Sus scrofa: one gene and its partner. The protein of the gene in region 1 binds, or shares a complex with, the protein of each later gene. Links are inferred from orthologs where the notes say so. Each region holds a gene or a part of one and is shown in the gene's direction. Other genes may lie near its edges. The genes, in order: ESR1 and SMYD2.

The links.
Region 2: the proteins of ESR1 (region 1) and SMYD2 are in contact, whole or in part, in a crystal structure (PDB 4O6F), measured with the Homo sapiens proteins. The link is inferred for Sus scrofa from reciprocal best matches to the Homo sapiens genes ESR1 and SMYD2. Residues at the interface, in NP_000116.2 of Homo sapiens: Gly262, Arg263, Met264, Leu265, Lys266, His267, Lys268, Arg269, Gln270, Arg271; in NP_064582.2 of Homo sapiens: Leu148, Val179, Asn180, Cys181, Asn182, Gly183, Phe184, Thr185, Glu187, Leu191, Ser192, His193, Ser196, Ala203, Ile214, Val215, Ser239, Tyr240, Ile241, Asp242, Tyr245, Arg253, Tyr258, Ile302, Arg306, His341, Tyr344, Leu379, Asn380.

The regions. Positions count from the first base shown.
Region 1 is NC_010443.5:14,488,366-14,492,504, reverse strand, and holds the start of ESR1 (estrogen receptor), read left to right. Parts: upstream 1-1,339; coding exon 1,340-1,791; intron 1,792-4,139.
Region 2 is NC_010451.4:129,313,157-129,317,696, reverse strand, and holds the start of SMYD2 (N-lysine methyltransferase SMYD2), read left to right. Parts: upstream 1-1,474; 5' UTR 1,475-1,638; coding exon of another isoform or gene 1,639-1,811; intron 1,812-4,540. UniProt on the Homo sapiens protein: Protein-lysine N-methyltransferase that methylates both histones and non-histone proteins, including p53/TP53 and RB1. Specifically trimethylates histone H3 'Lys-4' (H3K4me3) in vivo. The activity requires interaction with HSP90alpha.

The DNA.
Region 1 (4,139 bases):
TTACATGCTATGTAATATACATTATTATCTGTTATACACACACACATATATAATGTGCTTGAGCATGTTTAGCTTTTAATTCAGTTCAGAACTTTTTACTATTTCTTTTCCAATCTGAATATTTGATTCTGCTTATCCTAGTCCAAGTGAACCAAGAAGGTCCAATTGTAGGATAAAAGAACAGACATGTATCATTGCATTTCAAAATGTGTTTGGTGAGACCAACAGTGTAGATTTGGTTAATGAGCCGAGGTTATGCTTTTTTTCTGGAAAGGTCACATTTCATATTCAGTTTTCTGAAGTTTTGGTTGCATAATCTGTGGAAGGCATGAATACCCATGTCCGCCTAACGGGAGGTTTCTGTAAATCGTCATTCACATTAGAATTCCTGATGGGAGCAAGTACAGTACTGCGGCCAAAGACAAACAGACAAGTCGGGCTGGGGGAATCTCAGATAGTCTTGGCTGGAGGGGATGACTTTGGGAGAATTTTGCAGATGAGGAGAACTGAGCTGGGCAGCACTCCCCTGACTGCAAAACGCAGCTCTTTCTATAGTACACCTTGAGTCTCCGCCCCCTTTCCCCCAGATGCCTCTTATCTGTCCCCCGAGCTGCTAAATATAGCCGTCTGCCTATGCACCCGCACACCCCATTCTATCTGCCATATCTCGGTTACAGAGTGGTCCTCCCCAGGGTCATTCTCTGTACACACTCCGTATTTCCAGCCAACGAGGAGCGTGAATCCAACAGAGAGAGAGACAAACAGAGATAGATTGGAGCCTGGCACGGGGCACATAAGGTAGCACGTTCGAGAGAGCCGGCCCCTGGATTAGTCTTCCGAGTTTGTTTTAAACCCCGTCATCTCCGGACCACCTTTAGGAGATCCCTCTGCGCCTCCGCCCTCCTGCAGTGAAATGCAGCCTCTATCCAGCAGCGACAAGTAAAGTAAAGTTCAGGGAAGCTGCTCTTTGGGATCGCTCCAGAACGAGTTGCGCCTGGAGTGATGTTTAAGCCAACGTCAGGGCAAGGCAACAGCCCCCTGGCCGGCTTCCAGCACCTTTGTAATGCATATGAGCTCGGGAGACCGGTACTTAAAGTTGGAGACCCGGGCCCGGGAGTTGGCGGAGCGCGCTCGCGCCGGGCTGCACTTGCTCGCGTCCGGCCGCCCCGCTCCCCGGGACGGGCCGGCTCCCGGGGCAGGGCCAGAGCTCGCGTCGCGGCGGGACATGCGCCGCGCCGCCTCTAACCGCGGGCTGTGCTCTTCTTCCAGGTGGCCGGCCGGCTGCTGAGCCCTCCGCCGCGGGGGGAAACGGTTTGCGCCTTGCCCGCGGCCACTGACCATGACCATGACCCTACACACCAAAGCGTCCGGCATGGCCCTGCTGCACCAGATCCAAGCCAACGAGCTGGAGCCCCTGAACCGCCCGCAGCTCAAGATCCCCCTGGAGCGGCCCCTGGGCGAGGTGTACGTGGACAGCAGCAAGCCCGCCGTGTATAACTACCCCGAGGGCGCCGCGTACGACTTCAACGCCGCGGCCGCCGCCTCCGCGCCCGTCTACGGCCAGTCGGGCCTCGCCTACGGCCCGGGGTCGGAGGCGGCGGCGTTCGGCGCCAACGGCTTGGGGGGCTTCCAGCCGCTCAACAGCGTGTCTCCGAGCCCGCTGGTGCTGCTGCACCCGCCGCCGCAGCTCTCGCCCTTCCTGCACCCCCACGGCCAACAGGTGCCCTATTACCTGGAGAATGAGCCGAGCGGCTATGCGGTGCGCGAGGCCGGCCCTCCCGCCTTCTACAGGTACCCGCGCCGCCCGCCGCGCCACGTCGGGGTGGCCGCCGCGCACCCGGCGGCGGGAGGGAGCGGGGGGCGAGGGGCCGCGCCGCCGGGAGCTCGCGGGGCCCGCAGGCCGCGGGGCTGGGCACCCGGCAGCCCGGCCGCCGCCGGCGCCGCGGACGCGCGACCCGAGGGCTAGGGCGCGACCCGGCCCAGGGTCACGGGTGGATCTCGCGTTCGAGAGTCAAGTTCTCCGGCCTGGCAGCTTAAAAAAAAAAAAAAAAAAAAAAAAAATTTCTACTCTCCACCCCGCCTACTGTCTGCGTGAGAAGCAGGTCCGAAACCCCGTGTGCTTTCCAACTAAACCAGTATTAGAAAACCGTGCAAAGCAGAGGTTATTTGTGGGGAGAAACGCCCCAGACCAAATAAGCACAAGGTGCTTTGAGTCCCTAGAAAAGGTCCCGCTTTGGCTGTAGGTGTTGGGGCAGGCGGAGCTCAGAGTTTTCTTTTTTACATAGTCTTATTATTTTACAAATTTGTTTTAACGTGCTTGCAAAATTTCCTTTCACCTAGAATTTCGGATTGGCTATGTGCACGCTGTGCCGCTGGTGAGCTGGTGATGGTGATGAGGGGGTGCTCATTTCCTTGGGAAGCGGTTCCTAGCAGCCCTTTGCTTGTCCTCCCTGTCCCACCTCCGAGGGAGGCTGTAGGACTGACCGAGCGCTGCTCAGATGAGCAAGGGTTGAATGGGTCTCAAGGAGTTTCTGATTTCTGAGTTATCTGGCGGAGTCCGTGTCAGAGCAGCTTGCTGGCAGAAGACTTCTGACAGCCGGAGATTTATAACTGTCCTGTGAGTTAAAAACATGCCACATCGAAGCACGAGTGTTTTGAAATACTTCCCTGCCAGCTAAGTTTCATTTCTGGCCTGCGGGGCTGAGAATGCCCTGGGAGTGGTGTGTATGGGTTCAGCCCAGTTCTGTGCCTTTCATTCTCAGGAGAAGCAACAGATAGTTAGTCGTTCAGGATAGACAGGAACACTTTTGTGACTTAAGAGGCAAGTGTTTTTTGTCCTATTTTTTTCCCCCTAGTAGACCCTATACTTTCCTTTGCTCCTCTTCCTCCCATTTTCCCTTTGACAGTTTCTCCCTTCTCTTCCTGATGGACTTTGCAGAGGGTTTAGGCAGGGGGTCCTGGTGGGTACCTGCACCCTAGGTGCTGCTGGACAGGGATAGCCTGGGTGGGGTTGGGAGGCCTCCCAGCACCCTGGTGGCTGGATGCTGGGTTAGGCACTGCCTGGCTGGACACTGCTGGTGTGTGGACGTGCCCTCCACCCTCACCCAGACCCTTCTGTATTGCAAGCTGTGGGCCGTTTTTCTATTCAGCATCTATTTCCAGAGATATTTATAGCAGAAGAAACGGGAGGAAGGTGCATCGTGGCCCTAGAGAATTCTGGAGGCAGCCGCTGGGGGTATCTGAACATCTGCCACATCCTTCAGCCCCCTCAGAGGACCTTAGAATGTCACACAGCCAAGCAGGTCCATCCTGAGTTATTACTTAAAACACAAACAATGAACAAAACTTTAAAAAGTTGGCCTCTATCGAATCATTTTAACTTGTTTTCTGCAGGGTTAAAATGGAAAGAGAAAAAGAATTTATTCTGCCCGCTTTTTTTAAGTGTTAGAATCAAATATGACAATTAAATCTAATTCACACAACATTTTAAACTCCTTGATGTGAAGGAAGGCACTGATAGGACGTGAATTCCATAACCTTATGGTAGACTCCAGAAACAGTTTTCTTTTCCATTTAATTTTCAGTTCTTTTCTTGCAAATTAATGCCACTGAATTTCAATGGACACTAATGAGACTGCTTCTCAGTGGATTATTTACTGCCCTGCTAATAATTACAAAGTGAACATGGTCAAATAAAGAGGGGAATCACATTTTATTCAAAATTGTTCAGCATCCTGGTGGCAAATAATATCACTATAACATGCCCATCTTAAACTTTCTGCATTCGATGATATTCAGATATTTTTAGAATAATAAAAAAGTGATATGGAACTTTCAACTCACCCACATTGGATTCTGTGTGGAAATTCAGTTTTAGAATGATCATTCTCCTTTGTAGTTTATTTCCCATAACATCCATCCTTCCTTTCTTTTCTTTTCTTTTCTTTTCTTTCTTTGAATTCCGCCTCTTATTACCCAAGAAAGAGGGGAAGGATCTATAAAATAAGTTATTTCAAATGGAGAGATGTTACTTCATATTTTTTCCCCTCTCAGTTTTGCTGTTTGAATAACTTTTGGTAAAAAAGAAAAGAATTCATTGGACTCTTTTAGGAAACTTTAATTTTCTTCAGTACTTATCA
Region 2 (4,540 bases), on another chromosome or scaffold:
TGGGCCTCAAGTTCAGACTGACTGGAGGCTGAAACCAAATTCTGCAGCTCAGTTGTGTGGCCTTGGATATTCTGAGTTTTGATTTCCTAGTTTTGGAAATAGGAGACATAACACCTAACTCATTGGGCAGTTGGAATTACAGATTAAATGGGATACTGTGTCTAAGGTACAGAGCACAATGCCTGGTCCATAATAGTCACTAACTATTGGTAATTATTGTTGGGCTGTGAATGTGTCACATGCAAAGACCTAGGCCTACATTTTGCCCATCTTTCTATGCCAGGGACTGGCCATAGTAGGTGCTCAGTGAATGCTTCTTAAAATGCCTAAATGGGAGAGTATCCATGATGTATTCTTCTTTTCAGGAGGACTAGAGGCTTATTCATTTTAGAACTTTATTGAAGTGTCAAAAATTCTAATAATCTCATGACTCCAAATCATATTCATCTCTCCCTTTGTTAAATTAGTCTTGAACTTAGGCATGTGCCATAGTTTGAGGTCAAACTTGAGTTTGAAATATTAGTGTTTTTGCTAAATTCTGTCTTCACGACTGAGTCCTTAACTGCATGTGCATCAATTTCAGCCTTTACATGGAACAGATTATATCTTTCTCATACGAAAAACTCCAATAGTATACAAGTGTATAGGATTAAGTGCTAAAGCACTGTTCTTTGAGCTTTACCTGTTTTAAATCCTCTATGTGGCTCAAAACCTAACAGATTTTTCTAAGATGACAGTGCCTGGTCAAATCGATTAGAACCACCACAATTCTAGCCGGGTGCTCTGGCTACAGCACGCCACTGCCCCCGACAAGTCTAAATTCCCTGCTGGCAAGGTTGTCTCCTGCCTCCTCCGCATCGTTGCGTGTATGCAGAAGCTTCGAGTGAGTTAGGGTGACCGGTGCAGTTCCTTTTCCGTCCACGTAATTAACTTCCACTAGGGGGGCAGAGGGAAGAGTAGGTTCACGATGAAGACTCCCTAGAAGGTTTAAAGCCTCATCGGGTTGAAAAACTTTTAACCTTGGGGAAGCACTCTTTAATCTTAGTACATCAAACTTTTTTTTACGGCGGTTTCTCTTCCGTGTTCCCAGAGGACGCCTTCTACGGTCCTTGTCAAGGACACACGCAAGGTTGCAAAGCATCTTGGCCTCCTTCAATTTCCTAATCACCGGCCTTCCTACAGGCCAAGCCCGGGACGGGCGCAGGGTAGCTGCCCCCGTGGGCGACCCCATCCCGCCCACCGGAAAGCGGGCAGCGTCCCGCGCGCTCCGTGGAAACGCCGCGGAGGCGGAGACGCCTCCCGCCCTCCTTCTAGGAGCCGCGGGAGATGCCGCTCCCGGCGGCGGCCACACCGGAAGCGGCCCCGGGGGCATGCGGGGCGGCCGCCGAGGGTCCCGCACGCCAGGCGGGGCCGCCGGGCCTCTCCCCCGCCTCCCGGGGGCGTGCGAGGACCGGGCGGGGCCGCCGTCCCTTCCGGGGAGCGGTGGCCGCCGCCGCCGCCGCCGCCGCGTCCGCCGGGCGGCTTCCCACCCCGCCCCCCGCCGCTCAGGGTGACGCTTCTCCAATAACAGCTCGCGGGGAGCCGCCGCTGCGGGCTCCGCCGGCGCCGGGCCCCCTCCGCGCCAGCCCGGCCGCCAGCATGAGGGCCGAGGGCGACGGCGGGCTGGAGCGCTTCTGCAGCCCGGGCAAGGGCCGGGGGCTGCGGGCCCTGCAGCCCTTCCAGGTGGGAGACTTGCTCTTCTCCTGCCCGGCCTACGCCTACGTGCTCACGGTCAACGAGCGGGGCAACCACTGCGAGTTCTGCTTCGCCAGGTAGGGTGGCCCGCACGGACGGGCGGGCGGGCGGGCGGGAGCCGGGGCGCCGCCGGGGCGGGCGGACCGCGGCGGGAGGAAGTGCGCGCGGCGCGCGGGGTCCTAGCGCCCGCGGCTCGGGGGAGGGGGCGGGCGGCGCCCTTGAACCCCAGGCCTGATTGTGCCACGTGCGTTAGGAAAGAGGAGCCAAGTTCCCTTCGCACGCCCTGCACGGCACGCTTTCCGAGCTGCTCCCGCGGAATATGCTAAACCCGCGAGGGCAGAATCCTGCCCTCAAACGTGGGCGCGGAGCCGGCCTTGCTCCCAGCGTCAGCACACGCTGCCCACTGGGGTGCGTGGCTGGCGGGGCCCCAGGTTCGCGCAGCTACATGCAGTCTGTCACCTTCAACTTGTGCTTTCTGCGGTGTGTTCTGTGCCCCACAGGCCGGCTGTGTCGCACACGTGCCGCGTTTCCTCCAAGGAACTTAATGCCACTTAATATTTCATGTAAAGTACCTGGTTCCTCTTATTTCTTCTCACCCTGCGCTTGGTGTTTGGAGAGAAGCCAGAGGAGCACTGACCACACACCTGGGGTGCAGAGGGGCTGCACTGGTGCCATGTATCTAACCCTGATTTGGGATTGGGAAGACACGGCTGCTGGGGCAGGATTTGGCAAACCATGTGGTTGGAATTGGTATTTAATTGTGGCATATTCTGTATATACGTTCGTGTTTGTATTCACATACAGCAACACATAGTTAGCATCCTAAAGCCCCATGACAGTTTCAGACCTGAAAGGCAGGTTAGAAATCATCCATGAAACACTCTCCGTTTTACAGGCAAGAGAACTAATGCCCCGAGCGAGAGAGTGCGACTGCGTATGTGTATTCACGTCTGTCGTTCCGAAAATGAAATCTAGTGTCTTCAGTTCTACCCATTTCCTCCCGAGTTGAGTGTTCCCAGTAGTACTGAGACAGGAAGCCTGGCTTTGGAGTTAAGCTTGTACAGGGCCTTCCGGTACTTTATGTTCTTTGAACCTCAGTTTCTTCATCTTTGAAATGGAGAATCCTGGGCTAGATTAAGCCCACCTGAGGTCTGCAGGTACCTTTGGCGTACAGGTCTGTCTGCAGCCCGGGCAAGCCCAACATACGCTGGCGTACTCCATCTCTGAGATGTGTTCATCTTATTCCACGATAAGACAGAGCAAAAGAAGGGACAAAAGCTAAATACTATAGTCATCTTGCCCAGACTCCCTGCCAGAGCTGTCTTCCGCTTGGGGGGACCTGGAAAGGAACTAGACACAGAATCATGCCGTGGGCAGCTTAAGGGCTGTATGTGATGTGGCTCTTTGAATTGGTGAGCCAAGAGCTAAAGGGTCATGGCACCACTTTGCGACGTTTGAGTGAAGTGAGCATTGGGTTTTCCCAAAGTTAAAAAGGCTGCTGTGTCTGGTCCCTTGATCTTCTGAGCCTCGCTGTGGCTCAGAGTCTGAAGCAGTGTGGGTGTCTGGAGTGGCAGGAGCAAAGCAAGGTCACCCAGCACGGAAGGGGCCCCCCTCCATCGGGCTCCTGGTGATTCCTGGGCTCTATTGTTTGAGAAGAGAAGGTGGTACTTGCCACATGGTAGGTGCTCAGATGGTCGTTACCAGACCACTCCTCCGGTGCATTAAAGACCAGCTCCAGCTGGGTTCGCAGTGGAGCAGCAGAGCTGAGATGCTGGTCTTTCGCTGTGAGCCTCCTTAACGGTATCTACTACGCACACCCCCGACCATAGATCAGGAGGGTGCAGTCAGATGGCACTTCACAGATCACCCAGCCATGTGTGATGACACTGGCCTTTTTCCCTTTTCCTATGACATTCATTAGTGTCCCTGTTGCCTTGGACCCCTCGCCAGGGCTGCCCCAGGCGTTGGAGCAGGACCCCTGCACCCCGCCCCCTCTGCCTCAGGTGAACTGCTGTCAGCACCCACTGCACCTTTCCTCTCTCTCCCCAAGGACTCGCTTGAAATCAACTAAAATAGTACACGGGAAATAATGACGTCATGATGCTTGTGAAATGAGAAACAGCTTTGCACTCTGGTTTCTGTTAACTCCGATGGGTTTAGAATTAGTGGGTAACTCATTCTCGCAGATTGAGCACCATTTCCCCTGTCAATGGTTTGTATGTGACCGAGGACAAATTACTCTGCGGGGCTAGACACAAATTACTGTGTCTGTGTCCCCACTGTTCCCCCGGGGATAGAGCAGCATCCTCAAATAGTGAAGCATACAGGGCAGAAATCCACTATTAACCCCCCTCCTCCCATCCCATAGAAGGAAAACGACACCGTATCATTTCTTGTGCCAGACGTTGCAGGTGCACGATATTGCTTAAGCCAAACGAGCCTAGAGATTTTTCCTTACATTCATTGTATCAGGGTTTGACTTAATTTGAAGGAAAATAAGTGATTTTTTTTTCAGGAATAAGTATGTTCTCTAAGTTGAAATATAACGGGAAGGTCTCTTAGGTTTTACTGTCAGGGCAATTCAGACAAAGGTTTGTTTCTGGGAGTTTCAGATTTGTATCATGTTTTCTCAGTTCGGGGGGTGACACTTGGGAAGACGTGTGTCTTGCTTTAGCTGCCAGAAGGCAGGTCCTAAAAATACATCTGTCTTTCACTTGGGGGGCTGTTCTCATCAGACCTCTCAGATGCATTTTATGTGCATATACACACACGCACGTTGGCCTGGTCAAATTTTTGCGGCACGTTT